2 linked regions of the Oryctolagus cuniculus genome follow. The protein of the gene in region 1 interacts with the protein of each later gene in a pairwise test. Links are inferred from orthologs where the notes say so. Each region holds a gene or a part of one and is shown on either strand. Other genes may lie near its edges.

Region 1 (7,351 bases):
CATTTTAATCAGCACAGGCCCTATCAAAGGACAAACAGAACGATTTGCAGGTCTTTGAATTTTAAACAGTCTTATTGATTTCAGCACAATACGTCTTCACAAAACACAGGGAGAATTTTCTAATATCAGTTACAGTACTTTGAGTTTTACTTATGCAAATTGAGTGAAGGTTGGGGAAGACTAGATGGAGAAAGAGGACCTGAAACAACCAGAGATGGAAAACAATAAACAAACAAGACAAAAGCTCTGAAAGCTAAAGATGCAACAGAGTGAGCATTTGAAATTTCTCTGAAATTGATTTATCTGTTATTGGTAAAAACTGTTTGCCTTAATCATGAGCAACATTTCTCAATGGGGTGGGGGAGAAGAAGAGAGATGGGAAGGGGGGGGAGAGAGAGCGAGAGCGAGAGAGAGAGAGAGAGAGAGAGAGAGAGAGAAAGAGAACCTTAACATCTTTCAAGGCTTTTCTTTCCTAGATATTTTAATTTGCATTATACGCTTTTTCTAATCCTATTGTTTGATCAAAGGGGTAAGTGGTGGTTCCTTGAAATGGTTTAGAGACCTGAATCCCAGAAAGCTCCCATTCAAGTAAGGTCAAATGCCCCCAAGCCCTGCTTCTGAGTGGAGCACGTGCTCCAAGATGCAGGTTTCCCTGCAGTAGAAAATTGAGAGTTGGCGTCGAAGCAGAGTGGAATTATGGCTTAGTCTGTTAGCATTGCTTCCTGTCTGTGGCTTCTGAATGTGATGGGTATTGGGTGAGTGATAGGTTAAGGAAATGTGAGAAGTGAGAATGGTAAGGGCAGATTTGGGGCATTTAATTCCCATTTTCTTTTTTTTTTTTTCATTTGTGGGTCTAGAATTGAAAATGATGATATTTTGTCTAGTGTTTTAAAATCAAGTCAGGATTTATGGAAGCTAGGCATGCATTTCCAAAATACAGTTAGCTTTTTCTGGGCTTAATACTTTCCTCTTACCTTCTCCCATACTGATTCGGCACTTCGTTTTAAAAGGTATCACTTTCTAAGACTTGCTTAAACACTTGAAGTGTTTTCATGTGTGTGATATACATTGAATCCCCACTTTTAGTTGTGGACAGATTTGAAGGCTGAAGAAAAGTTAGAAGTTATTTCTGATGATATTAAAATACATTGGCTAACTAGGCCAAACAATTGTGCAAACATGAGCTATCCTAAGTTTGTCTATTATTCAGCAGCAATTTTCTGAGCGGTACAACTCAAGAAAGCCTCCTAATAGAACTGCTGTGCCCCAGAAAGTATAGCGTAAACTTAGACTAATTAGCCAATAGTGTCATTTTTCTCTGTAGATAGTTCCTGCACCTTTTGACACTAAACATCAAAGACTTTACAGGATTAAAATGATAAAGAGAAACGTAATCATCATTTCAACACCCAAATGGCAGAAATTTTCATTATGAAATTTCCCAACACTGTGAACCTGCCACTAACAGTTTGTTTTTAAAAATCTGTCAGATGCTCCAGCATTGCTTCACATCTCGTGAAGTCACTGAACGTGTACAGACAGGTTCGAAGCCTAACTATTTTAAGATTCCTAGAGATATAAGCAGCAAACAGACTTGACCTCTGCTCAAATCCTATCTTGGTCAAGAATTCTGGAATAAATACTTCCATGCAACAAGTTAGAAGAGGGGACAGGAAGGAAAGGAGGAAGAGAGGCAGTCTAAACAGCCTAATGTTGTTTTTAAACATAGCCACCCTCTCTACTTTTGCAAGTCAACTGGTGTGCTTTCTTTTTGTTCTCATTATTTACACAACACATTTGCACTGACAAACAGAAAAGGACTTTTCCAAAATACAGTGGTGCTTTTCTAATATGAAAAAAATATAACTACTGTGTTATTGAAACGACACATTCGCACTGAGCAACCAGCCTTAATGTCTCTTAAAGGATACCAGCGCAGTCGGTTACTGTGCGAGACAGGTGAATTAATTACAGAGTTTGGGGTTAGAAAAATCAGTGTTCTTGTTTACCACTTTCTCAGTCTTCAAAAGTGCTGCGTTTCTGAGTTCTCTGGGCAAAACAGACGTTTCTGACCCGCTTTTGGGGGCGAAAAGTGAACTTATTGTAAATCTTCTACCTCGTGGCAAGAAATTTCTCTCCACAAACCTATTAGGCAATACGGAATCCAATACAGAGCAGCCCACGATCCTGAAGCCATTTCGGACCCACTTTGTTCCCACAACTTGGAAAAAACTCTCCTGGAATGGTCACTGTCTTCGGAGAAATAAATACTTTCCACAAGGAGATCAAAACAGTCGGATGCCCAAAAAAATACGACTCTTGGCTTCCGTGCGAGTCTTTTTCTCAGCGTAATTCCTTACTAATCACGGAGCGGGGCTGGCTTGTCGCTCCGGTCTCCTCGCCCAGACGCGCGGAGACGCGTCCTAAATCCTCGAAGGGGAACTCTGAGCGCTCTGGCTCCTCGCTAAGTTGCCTGGAAGCTTTGGGGAGGGGTGGTGTGTGTGGGTGTAGGTGTGGGGGTGTGTGAGGGGGGCAGGGCGAGTTGGGGCGGACCAGAGAGGGCAAGGGCTGTGCGCTGGCCGGGCCGGGGCCGCAGAGCGCTGTCCGGCGCCCCCGGCCGCCCCTGCCCGTCCCCCCGCGGTCGCTTCCCTCTGCCCCCTCCTCCTCTCCCTCGCACGCTCCCCTCTCCCTCTCCGTCTCGCGCGCTCCGCGAGTCTCCGCTGCGAGTTCCTGGTTGGATAATTTGGGTTAATACTAGTGAGTGAGGTTTTTGCGGCTTCAAAGGGTATTTCAAGTTTCCGGAGCTCCTCCCCTCTGCACCGTGTGACAACAACAACTCGTCCAGCCGGCAGCCTGCACTTTTCAGCTCATTTTCTCTCTGTCATTCCGCTCTCAATCTTTGATCAATGTACTTGCCGGGGAGAACCCGAGTCCCTCAGTCCTCCTCCTCTTCACCTTCACCCTTCCCTCTGTGCTAGAGCGGGACCCACACCTCGGCGGCCGGCCCTCCCCGCCCCCGCCCGTCCCCCCGCGGCCGGCCTCGCTGCCGGCCCCCGGAGAGCGCTCGCCGTTCGACTCGCGGGACACTTTGGTGCGCCTCTCGGCGGAGCGCCGCTCGCGCTCGCTGCTTCCCGCGTCTCGCTCCCTCGCTCCCTCGCCTGCTCGCCCGGAGTTGCAAGGGTCGCCGCCCCCACCCCCGCTCCCGCTCCCGCTCGTCTCCCCGTCCCCTCCCGGGGCTGTGTGGCAACTTTTCCCCCCTCGCTTCTCCTCCTTCCCTTTTCCCCCGTATATGTGACCATGGCAGTGCCGGCGGCTTTGATCCCTCCGACCCAGCTGGTCCCCCCTCAGCCCCCGATCTCCACGTCTGCTTCCTCCTCTGGCACCACAACCTCCACCTCCTCGGCGACCTCGTCTCCGGCTCCGTCCATCGGACCCCCGGCGCCCTCTGGGCCAACTCTGTTCCGGCCGGAGCCCATCGCTTCGGCGGCGGCGGCGGCGGCGGCCACAGTCACCTCTACCGGCGGTGGCGGCGGCGGCGGCGGCGGCAGCGGAGGCGGCGGTGGCAGCGGCGGCGGCAACGGAGGCGGCGGCGGCGGCGGCAACTGCAACCCCAGCCTGGCAGCCGCGAGCGGCGGCGGCAGCGGCGGCGGCGGCATTGGCGCTGGCGGCGGCGGCGCCTCCAGCACCCCCATCAACGCGAGCACCGGCAGCGGCAGCAGCAGCAGTAGCAGCAGCAGCAGCAGCAGCAGCAGCAGTAGCAGCAGCAGCAGCAGCAGCGGCAGCAGCTGCGGCCCCCTCCCCGGGAAACCCGTGTACTCAACCCCGTCCCCAGTGGAAAACACCCCCCAGAATAATGAGTGCAAAATGGTGGATCTGAGGGGGGCCAAAGTGGCTTCCTTCACCGTGGAGGGCTGCGAGCTGATCTGCCTGCCCCAGGCTTTCGACCTGTTCCTGAAGCACTTGGTGGGGGGCTTGCACACGGTCTACACCAAGCTGAAGCGGTTGGAGATCACGCCGGTGGTGTGCAATGTGGAACAGGTTCGCATCCTGAGGGGACTGGGCGCCATCCAGCCCGGAGTGAACCGCTGCAAACTCATCTCCAGGAAGGACTTCGAGACCCTCTACAATGACTGCACCAATGCCAGGTAAGGAGCGGGGGTGGCCCCTGAGGCCCGCGGCCCCTTCCCACCGGCCTCCTCGCCCTTCCCTCGCTCCCTTCCGGGCGCTGGCCGCCCCGCGCGCCCGCGAGCCGCGCGCCTCAGCGAGCGCGGGCCTCTCCTCCCCTTCCTCAGGGCTCTCCGGCAGCGGCCGACCCCCGGAGAAGTTGCCTCGACCTCGCTCTTCCGGCCGATAGGTTCCTGGCTAGCCCGGGGACCGGAGCTTAGCTGCTGTGGGACCGCGGGGACCCCAACCCTGAGGGTGGAGGGGGCGGGAAGGAGCAGGACAGTGCCTTTCCAGGAGCCACAGCCCCTTTCTTGGGGCTCCGGCGTCGGGGGACCCCCTGGACGCTGCTGCCCGCGGGTGCGAGCCTAGGGACCGGTGTTGCACGGCCCTGCTCCCTGCACCCACGGGGCTGCTCCACCGCACCCAGGGGCGTCCCGGGAGCGGGAAGAGCTCGTGACCCTGACCCGCAGGGTTTGGAGAGCGGGGAGACGCGCTCCGGGTGAGGGGCCCGTTGGGAAGCCGAGGGAGTGGGCCAGCAGTGCAGCAGGGGCACTTGGAGGTCAGAAGGGGGGTCGACCTCGAGGGAGAGAGGCCCGGCGCAGTCCCGGGGGACCCGCAGGGAGTTGAGCCCCGAAGCCCAGAGGTGGAAGCCCGCCGAGGGGAGGGGTCTGTGTGTGTGTGTGTGTGCGCATGTGTGCGTGTGTCCGCGTGTGAGGGTGCGTGTGCAAAGGAAAGAAAGGAGTGCGTTTGCCCCGGGGCAGATGCGAGAGCACCCGCAGATTTCCGTCTGTAAGGAGAGGTAGCCGGGTGCTGGAGACCTGGAAGCTGACCTGGAGACCGGAGGAAGATCCCGGGGCTCGCGCACACTCTCCCTTTTCTCTCCTTCTCTAAAGTGTGTGTGCGCGCGCGCTTGTGTGTTTTCAATTCTTTGTTTTCTTTTTTTCTTAAGGTTAGTAGCTCACGCAACGAGCAGGTGCACGCTTTGCACTAGGATGCTCTGCGGGCCTGACTTGTCTGGGCTGTGGCTTCCTCAGCCCCGCGCGGAGCGCGCAGGGTGGAGGCCGCGCGGCCGGTCCCCGGCCGGGCCAGTTTTATGCAAATGAACGCGCGGTGGGGGAGGATCCACCGAGAGGGGGCGGGAGAGGGGCAGCTTGTCCGTTTCGGGGTAGAGGCGACCGTTTCACCCCCTCTCACAGTTGCGCTTCGTCCCTATCATTCGTCTCAGGGAAGAGCAGGGGGAAAAGTTCTGATTCCGAGAGCAAGCACCTAGGGAAAGTTGGGGATCTGAAACGGGCACGTGGGAGCTCGGCGCTACATTTGCGCAGAAAACTTCGGTACCCTCCCACTAAGTTTGCAGAGTGAATGAGGGAGCGGGGTGGTGTGTGCATTCCTGGCAGAGCTGGGGAACTCAGGTGGGGAGGAAGGAGGTGTAGGGCGAGACCGGGACGCCTCGTGGGTGGGAGAGCCGCTGGTTATCTCTGCCTTGGAGAGACTGCTGAACAGCGGAGAAGGGTGTAAACCGAAAAGGACTCGAGTTCTAACCCAGCAAATGTCCTCTCCTGTCCTATCCAGAAATTCTGTTCCTCGTTTATTTGCCATTCTCTCCATAGGACATCATTGTGTGCCTGTTTTTTTTTTTTGGACATTCTTTTATTTTGGGATAGATGCTGTGTGTGTGTGTGTGTGTGTGTGTGTGTGTGGTGTGCATGCGTGCGAGCGTGTCCAAGGGAATGGACAGGTGGCAGTAGAGATGGAGCGGCAGGATCAAGATCTCTCACCATCATTTACTGGATAATTGGTGTCCTTGCTCGTCCAGATGATACACCATTGGCCTCCAATCTACTGTTGAAACATTTGAATCAGGGAAGAAAAGTATCCTGGAGTTGTTAGGAAAAATGCTAGGTGAAATTTGAAGTCCGCTCAGATAACGATTGTTCGAAAACTGTCTGCCTGTTCCGCAGATTGGTGAAGTGCTATGCTACTGTCATTAAGTAGACAGCCACTCCATTCCGAATCCTCTTTGTGTGCTTCCTACAGCACACACTGCTGTAGGTAATCAATGGCCATTTTACACACACAGACACACACACACAATTGCTCAAGAAAACATTTTCCAGTAATTGTATTCTAACCTATCCATAACTTGATCCTCTTTATTTACTGAAATTTCGCCCAGATTTTGAAGTCCTTGTCATATGGCTGAAGAATATACTTTAAGAGTTAGTAACCAAAAATTTTTTAAAAGTTTCCTCCCACCTCACCAGTTTAACAATAGCACTGGCGTCTTGCAGGGCCAAGATAAGTTAAATCCAGTGGAACTCTTTATCCTTTCAAAACTATCTCCTCTCTACTATAATTGTGTTTCAACCACCTGGCCTTGATACTTTGCAATTAAATGTGTTGTTCTAAAATCCTATTTCAGGTTGTTTTTAAGCTAAATGTTGACAGTTTGTTGATATTCTAGTGAATTTTGATCGTTTATCAACTAAAAAGCTTGCTCAACCTGAAATACCCACCAGTGTTGTTGCCATTAACATGAGGAGATGTGCAGTTGCAGATGCATACCTAGGTTATCCTAACTCTGCCACGGACTAAGGAAATAGAGAATTTATAATTGAACTTTCACCAAATTATACTGTTTGTATTGTAATGCATTATTATTTTCATGCTAATTACGAGTGTTATTGTCTTACTTCTTTACTTTAAAAATGGTATTAATGTTTTCCTTCCTGACTTTACTAAAGCTAAAATTACCTTCTACATCCCAGACTTCGCTTTTAAAATCCTCTTTAACTCATCTAGATATATTGATTTCTTTCACTTTGGTGCCTTTCTTCTCTAGCTACTTAATACAATAGGGGGATAATTTGTGCATAATATAAGAGGAACTACACAAGAAGGCAAACTGTAAAATATATATATTTTATGTGTGGGGGAGAGCAAGTGTATTGGCGCGCGCGCGCACGCCGTGTGAGTGTGTGTGTGTGTGTGTGTGTGAGAGAGAGAGAGAGAGAGAAAGAGAGAGAGAGAGATTGAGAAATCAAATCTTAGCACTCTCAGCTTGTTATAGAACGTATATCATTATGTCTCTTAATAGAATTTAGATACCAGGAACTCTGAGGAACCAAAATGATGCATTCAAAAACTTGCTCAAAGTGGCTCAGTAAGTTAGTAGAAAGCTTAGAGT
Region 2 (7,603 bases), on another chromosome or scaffold:
GTGTATCTAACTACTCTGAACTTCTTGTTTTCTCATTTCACACTTCTCATTTGATACTGTATGACCTCCAAGGTTCACAGCCACTCAGACATGGTCAGATTCTATAAACATCGTTCTCTCCATGACCAATTCCACTCATAATCAACATAACTTCTAAGGCAAAAACATCAATCATTTTGGACTCAATCACTTGTTAAGGAGTTTCTCTGTAGGAAATGAATAAGCCACGTGACTCATATGAATGTAGTAACAGCCTACATATAGCAAATTAAATAATCAACATTCAAGCAACTGTTCTGGCCTGGTTCATATAGATATTTCACACATAAAAAATGACTCAAATAATAAGCACAAGAATGATCCTTCGTTTAATAGAAAGAGCACCTCAGCCAACTTGCCATTTCAGGGTCTCCAGTGCTTCATTTCCAAAGAGCTACAGCCCACACAGTGCCTAAGGGGCTAACTATTTCTGGACTGCCTGTGCCATCTTCTACAAGTTATCTTCTCTATTCTACACTATTTCTGTTCTGATTATAAAATAATAATGACACAATAGTAATATCAACCCCAAATGGTAAACACTCACACATTCCTAAAATCTATTCCCATGCTTACACAGATGACATCCAGTTTTTCTTCACACCACTTTTTTCTATGTCATATTGCAAAGAGTGCAGACAGAAAACCAACAGATTCTGGTTAGAGTCTTAATTCTGCCACAGTCTCCCTGTATTTCCTCACATAAACCACAATGTTGCTAAGGCGCTAGGATTTCTCATCTGTATTAGCAAGGTTTGTGCAGCAAAACCCCAGGGTACACCACCACTTTATACTCCAGACATGGCATTCATAAACCATCCAATGTGCACGCTGACCCTAGAACTGTGTGGTATAGGTCCTACCAGTTTCCATGGTTTCATTCTGTGTTACCATGATTGTAAACACAGGATATCCACTGTCTGTAAAATTTCAACTTTATACATATCAGAACTCGGCGAGCAAAGGAAAAAAAAAAATTCAAGAGGAAATGCGACAGCCCAGAAATGAGAACTACAATCCTGGCATTCCCCATTGAGTACCTGACTTAGCCTCCCTGGTTCAGCTCGCTCTCTAGAAAGCCTGGTCAATGGAACATGTGTCTCCATGGTAGGAACCCAGAGTGGGAGCTCTTTATCAGGACAATTTACTGCATTTCACTAGTCCACACTTGTGACACAGTTTTCAGTTCCTAACCATATGACTTAGAAAGGCTCGTGGCTTCAGGAATAACTCAAATATTAAGTGAACATCAAAGTGCCTGTATAAAACAGATTCTCTTGAACAGTTTTTCCTTTTGGTATTTAGTAACTTCCTCCAAATCCAGCTGAAGAAACCTCTCTGGAATTAAGACATAGATGGTGCTATCTCTCTATAAATAGGCTCATCTCATGCTATGTGAATCGCAGTTGCTGACAGCAAATCAACAGATTAATTATTTGGCTTTGTTAGTAACGGTAATAGCATACTGCCATCTTCCCAGAAAGCTCTTCTGTACCCCACACTCCCATTCTCCTAAGCTAAGCTTCAGAACAAGCTTTAGTCTGTGGTATACAGGTACAGGCATGGTGTCTCTGCACTGGGAATGTCTTTACAGGTCGTGTGATATCTCTGCCAAATTGTTACCGTGACATTCTAGCTAAATGAAGTCACCAGCCAGGAGTCTCCCAGCCAAGATGAACACTAAATGGATGAAAAACAGAAGCAGAGAAGCAGATTAAATGAACACTGAAGGAAACAATAGACTCAGAAATTCCCTCAATTTCTCAATTTTCTACTGAGATACAAAGCAAAATGCCAGAGGAAACAGTGAATATAATTCCTTCCTTCCCAGGCCAAAGTAAGCCCTGCAAACTGCTCATCTCCAAATCAACTTCATCAAAAAGACTGGGTGAACGCATTTGATCCATTTACAAACGTAACTTGCCCATCATTCCTATTACTTTCTTTCTGGCTGAGGAAGTTGAATAGGAGCAACTCATAAACATGGTAAAATTACCCCTAAACATGGTACAATTATCCCAACCAAAGAACCAGAAAATACTCCAAGGGACTGAGGCGAAAAGTCATACTGAGTTCACAGCCTTGAAGTTCCTTGCGGGCCACACAAGCCCTGAGAGAAGTCCTCCAAATGATCCCTGTGCAGCAAAACAAGGGATTTTATTTCCCCTAACATGAAGGATTGACTGTGCAGAGACAACTATATTTTTTGCATAAATCCTACTTTTATAAAAAGTCTATATTAATTAGATGTAAAATGACAGAGACTTTACTAGCTTCCCTCTTGAAATCATACTTATTTTTGTTTACCCCTAAAATACACTACTTTATATCTTCACAGAATTAGAAAATGACCCCCACTGAGGGCTGAAAAAAGGCTACAAAAACCCAATGGAAACTGAAACAAGAAATTGGTTTCTTCACAACGCTTATTCCCAAATTTCTAAGCTGATCCAGAATCTCTCTTGCCCAGACTTCCCACTGTGCTTTCCTCAGCCCCAATGAACCTAGTCCTAGTGCCTCATTCCTGGAGCCCAGGACACCCAGCAGCAAACTGAGTAACTTAAATGCATTGACTGATCACAGAACAGACTTGCTTTCTAGACAGTGTTTCCTTCCAGGTGTCCACAGTAAATGGAAAGTATCTGCAGATTGCAAATGACCCTGCAGCCACTCCCAGAGGATCAATAGCCAGAAGAATCACAGATCTTGGCAATTCTGCCTTCATTCTTTTAGGCTGGGAATTATCACAGTGAAAGCCAAGGCATCCAATGACCCTTTGCACAAAGAGCAACCAATTTTAAGGCCACTGAAGAAAATCAGCTTCAGAAATGGCCAGGCCATCAAAATCCCTGCTAAGTCTGAAGTTCCCTTTACACCTGCTGAGGTCAAACTTCAAATACCATCTTGTTCCCTGAAAGTCTCCAAAGGAAAGGGAAGTACAGAGAAGATGGTAACAGGACAGAGGAGCTGGCAAGCAGTGGTGGCAAGAGAATGGGAATAAAGGCACGAGGTAAAAGGCAGTGAAAGATCATGTGAGAAAACAGAGGTGAGAAATTAACTGGAATGCCTGAACGATGCAGCACCATGTGTTGCTGGTGGAAGAGTTAGACAGACAATACATTTAAGTTCATCTGGAGTCTGACAAGTGTCTACCCTGCACTGTTATCAGACACATGGTCTTTTGGTCCTCAGGGCAGCACAAGTATCCTATGGATAAATGGATGGATGGATAGATGCATGATAGATGGATGGGAAAGAGAGAGGGAGAGTTGAGAGACAGACAATGAAGGAATGAATGAATGAGATGAGATGGTCAGTGTCCTCGAGGGTGCAAGCTATTTGAGATTAGGTGCCTCTGCACAGGAACTCTCTCTCACCCTGGTCAAACCACAGATTGATCAAAGCACAAAGTGTTTTTTCTTTTCTTTTCTTTTTTAAATGAATTTGGGACAAGAAACTATTAACTGGCAAAGGATGGTTCAAAGAAAGCTGTCTGGAAATGAGGGAAGAAGGGTCAGAATGCAAGAGGGATCCCCCTGGTTCCCTGCCATGGGCAGCTGTAGTCGCAGTGAGGAAGGGGGAAGAGAGGGGTGTCTGCCTCCGGGGAGCCCACTGTCCGGGCTTCTACTGACCTGGTCTCCGCCTCACTGGCCTCTTGCGGCCGCTGCAGAAGCGCACTTTGCTGAACACCCCGAGGACGTGCCTCTCGCACAGGGAGCGCCCGTCTTTGCTGGGGCTGGAGCGGCGTTTGGAGGCCGACACCCGGTCGCTGTTGGACTCCCTTGCCTGCCGCTTCTGCCGTATCAAGGAGCTTGCTATCGCAGCAGCCATAGCTGCTCAGCGCGGGCCCCAGGCCCGGACTCCACTGCGCCCTCGGGATCGCGCTCCGCCGGGGCGAGGGCAGGACCTCGGTGCCCGGGAGGGACAGGGCAGGCGCGGGGAGGCAGTGCTAATATTTGAGGAGGCCGCAGCACCGAAAACCCAGCGCCCACAAGGTTAGTCAGAGTCTGGGCAGTGGCGACAGAAGGTGTGACAATCCAGATGTAAACTTCCCCGACCGCTGGCGGCGGGGGCGGGGCGGTCCCAGGCCTTCCTGCGAAGTAGACGTTTGCACCCCAAACTTGGCGCCCCTCGGCGATCCACGTCCAAGGGGCAGTGGGGAGTTTGGTCACACTGCGTTCGGGGTAGCAAGTGGAAGGGGAAGAAGGATGTCCAAAATGACAAGCCCTGCCCCTGTTGGAGAGGCGCAAGCGTTGCAAGGTGTCCGAAGTATATTTACACATATATAGGAAAGAAACCCTTTTACATAGCAGAGTCTGGACCGAGGCGGGTAGCGTGCCCCCGGTTGGTTGAAAATACCAAAAAGTGCATAAAGCGTTCCTCTAGAAAACAAGCCACCAACCGCAGGAGAGAAGGAGAGGAAGGCAGCAATTTAACTCCCTGCGGCCCGCAGGTCTGGAGACTAGGAGGTCCGTCCCGGCGGGGTGAGGCCGTCTACCGGATGCATCGCGCCGGCTGCGGTGCTCCGGCGCCGGCCGCCCGAGCTCTGGAATCCCGAGAGGCGCCAAGTGGGAGCGGCCAGTGGGTCTGGGGAGGGGCGCGGGACGCGGGCAGCTGTGGCCGGCGGAGGAGCGCGCGCCTCGCCGCCAGTAGCACTGCAAAGGGAGCGGGCGGCGAGGAGGGGGATGGAAGGGGAGGAGGGAGATCCTCGAGGGCCAAGCAACCCTCGGGGAGAAGCGCGCGACAGGCGATCCGTGGGGTCCCAGGAGCGGGCGCTCTTTCGCTTTCCGCTTGCTTTCCGGCACGAGACGGGCACAGTTGGTGATTATTTAGGGAATCCTAAATCTGGAATGACTCAGTCGTTTAAATGAGCCCCCTCCAAGGCAGCGATGCCGAAGGTGTCCTCTCCAGCTCGGCGCCCACACGCCTTTAACTGGAGCTCCCCGCCATGGTCCGCCCGGGGCGCCGCACCAAGCAGGTCTCCGCACAGGCTCAGAGGGAGCGAAGCAGGGAGGGAGGGAGGGTGGGAAGGAGGGGGCGCCGTGGCGGGCTCGGGATCAGGTCATCGCCGCGCTGCCCGGGCCCCCAGGCTCGCGCGCCCCGGTAGTCGGCAGCTCACTAGCAGAGATCAGATGGGAATTACCCGCCCGATGCGATGCCGATCACTCAGTCCCGCGCGGCCCATCCCGGCCGAGGAAGGAAGTGACCCGCGCGCTGCGAACACCCGCGCGGCTGCTGGGGTGGGGCGGGGGCTGGCTGAGGGCGACGTCGGCTCTCGGCGGCTGCGGCTCCGGTCCGGAGCTGCCCACCATTGTCAGGTGCGCGGGGCGCAGGCTGGGCCCCTAGGCCGCCCAGGGCAACGGCGGGAGGCTGCCGAGCGCGCCACCAGGGTCCTCAGGGGCGGGCGCTGACTCTGGGGCCCCGGCCAGAAGGCAGGTGCAGGCGGCCGCCAACTCGCCCAACTTGCTACGCGGGTGGCCGCTCAGAACCGCCGGCTTACAAGGCGCCCCCCGCCGTCGCCGCCGCCGCCGCCGTCGCCTCCCCAGATCCGGGAGGGGGCGCTCAGGGCGGAGTCCCATTCATGGGCTGGGGCTCTGTGCGCCCGGAGCCGCACCGGCTCCCGGGCGCCGCCGCCGCCGCCGCCGCCGTCGCCCCACCGGCTAGTTCGGCAGGAGAGCTAGCTTCGCAGGAAACTCCAGGCGGGAGCCACAAGCTACCAAGACGGCGGGTGGGACAAAAGGTCGGCGCAGCCGGAGTTGCCCCTGCACTGCTCTCCCGCCCGCGGGAAATCGGGAGAGCGCCTAGGTGGGGCTGAGCTGGAGGCTGGGCTCCCGGAGTGCAGGGAAGCGCAGCGCATTGGGATCCGGCTCTCTTCCCTCGCGCCCTCTGCTCCCAGACTCCTTCTCCCCATTCCCTCTGGTCACCCCTCTCCCCCTTCTCTGTCTTCTGTCTCTCCCCTTTTCTCCTCTCTACGCAATCCTACGTGATTGAGGTTTGGATGAGAAATTCTCAGAGGCAGAGCAAGGGAACTGCAGCTCGGGTCTGCTCCGTCTGATCCCTCCCCGAAGAGAAAAACACCACTGGTGGGTTCAAGGCCCCTGGTGCGCGGAGAAGGAGTTAGGGAAAGAGGCAAAGCGCCTTCTCACCAATTAGCTGGAGCACGGCGAATTCTCTGTTTAGGAAGAAAGGAAGTGGTCGCTGGCCCAAGTGACAACGGCCTCTAGGGCCCTCTTATTGAGCCCCCAATTCTGCTCATTGTGTAACATGGAAAGAGTTTCCTCTCCTTACAACCCAGATTCCTACTCAGTCCCTAAAAGAAGGCTCAAGGAGCAACCCTAGCTGGGGTTAATGGAAGGGGCTAAGGGAATGACTGTGGAGTGCCACCAGGTTTCCAGGAGTTTGTGACAGCAGCTGAAACAGAGGAGTCATCCACACTCAATGCAGCCTGAGAGATTACGGACTGGCAGGGGTACTCACCTTTCATTCCAGGCAAGGTCTGGGAGTGGCCTTGGGTTAGACTTAGCTGTCTCTTCCACCCCCTCCAGATACCCGCAATCCCAACCCCCTCACAGACTCTGCTCTAGGCACTCATGGCAGTGCCAAAGCGTTAAGTGGATGGTTTCCAAGCACAGACAGGTGCATGCAAGAAAAACACAGGAAGCTACTGGGGAAGGCAGGGAAGCCAGGAACTGCAGATGCCAGCACAAGCCCTTTGGGCCTAGGATTGACTTGATTAATAAGGATTGAGGTCAGCAAGGTTATCTAAACCAAACATTAACTCTAACAGTTCTACTTTGTCTTATGATTCAGGGCCAGGGCCTTCCAGAATATCAGCTGGGCAAAATGGGCTAGCAGATACAGGCTCATGCAACAGAGGACAACAGGAAGTGCAAGACACCCTGAGAAAGTGGGGAATCCCCACTGTCAGCAGGGAGCAGTTCAGTGTGACTAAATGAGGACAGTGAACTTATCTTTGGGAGTCTAACATACACAACACGACAGGTTACAAAAATACACATACACCTCTCCTCCAACAGTGAAGCTGAATCCATTTTCAACAATCCGGAATGGGGTCAGGAAAATCGCTTATTGGTAACACTATCAATTAGGGAAATGTTCACATTCTACAAATAAAAGTTTTTTCCTTTCTTGGCTATCAGAAGATTTGTCTCATTCTTGAGAAAGGCAGGGACAGATAGTGCTGGCTAGCTTCAGGAGCTCCCTGTCTTTTGCAATTCAGTGCCCAAACAGGGGTGGGGGTGGGGGTGGGGGGCAGGGTGGGGAGGAAGGGGGTCAGCTAAGGGGAGTACCCAGAGAAACAGGCAAGATGAGGGTGTATAATGAGGCCTTGAGGAAATCATTGCTAAACTGGGAGCCTCTTTTTTATCCTCAAAATGGGGATAATCATCCCCATCTACCTCATAGAACTGAATATGCATGTGTAAGCATTTTAAAAACTGGAAAATGCCAAGTGCATAAAAGAGATGATGACAGTGTTTATTATTTTTTAAAGAAAATGTGTGAGGTTCACCTGGTGCTCAGATTCCTAAAGCTCTCTCAAAAC

The links. The genes of interacting proteins can lie anywhere in the genome.
Region 2: the proteins of DACH1 (region 1) and FGF12 interact in binary tests that used the Homo sapiens proteins (3 or more experiments, as listed by UniProt). The two-hybrid records come from large-scale screens. The link is inferred for Oryctolagus cuniculus from reciprocal best matches to the Homo sapiens genes DACH1 and FGF12.

What each region holds. Positions count from the first base shown.
Region 1 is NC_091440.1:40,949,252-40,956,602, forward strand, and holds the start of DACH1 (dachshund homolog 1), read left to right. Parts: upstream 1-3,157; 5' UTR 3,158-3,297; coding exon 3,298-4,145; intron 4,146-7,351. UniProt on the Homo sapiens protein: Transcription factor that is involved in regulation of organogenesis. Seems to be a regulator of SIX1, SIX6 and probably SIX5.
Region 2 is NC_091435.1:87,005,350-87,012,952, reverse strand, and holds the start of FGF12 (fibroblast growth factor 12), read right to left. Parts: upstream 5,154-7,603; 5' UTR 3,871-5,153; coding exon 3,672-3,870; intron 1-3,671. UniProt on the Homo sapiens protein: Involved in nervous system development and function. Involved in the positive regulation of voltage-gated sodium channel activity. Promotes neuronal excitability by elevating the voltage dependence of neuronal sodium channel SCN8A fast inactivation.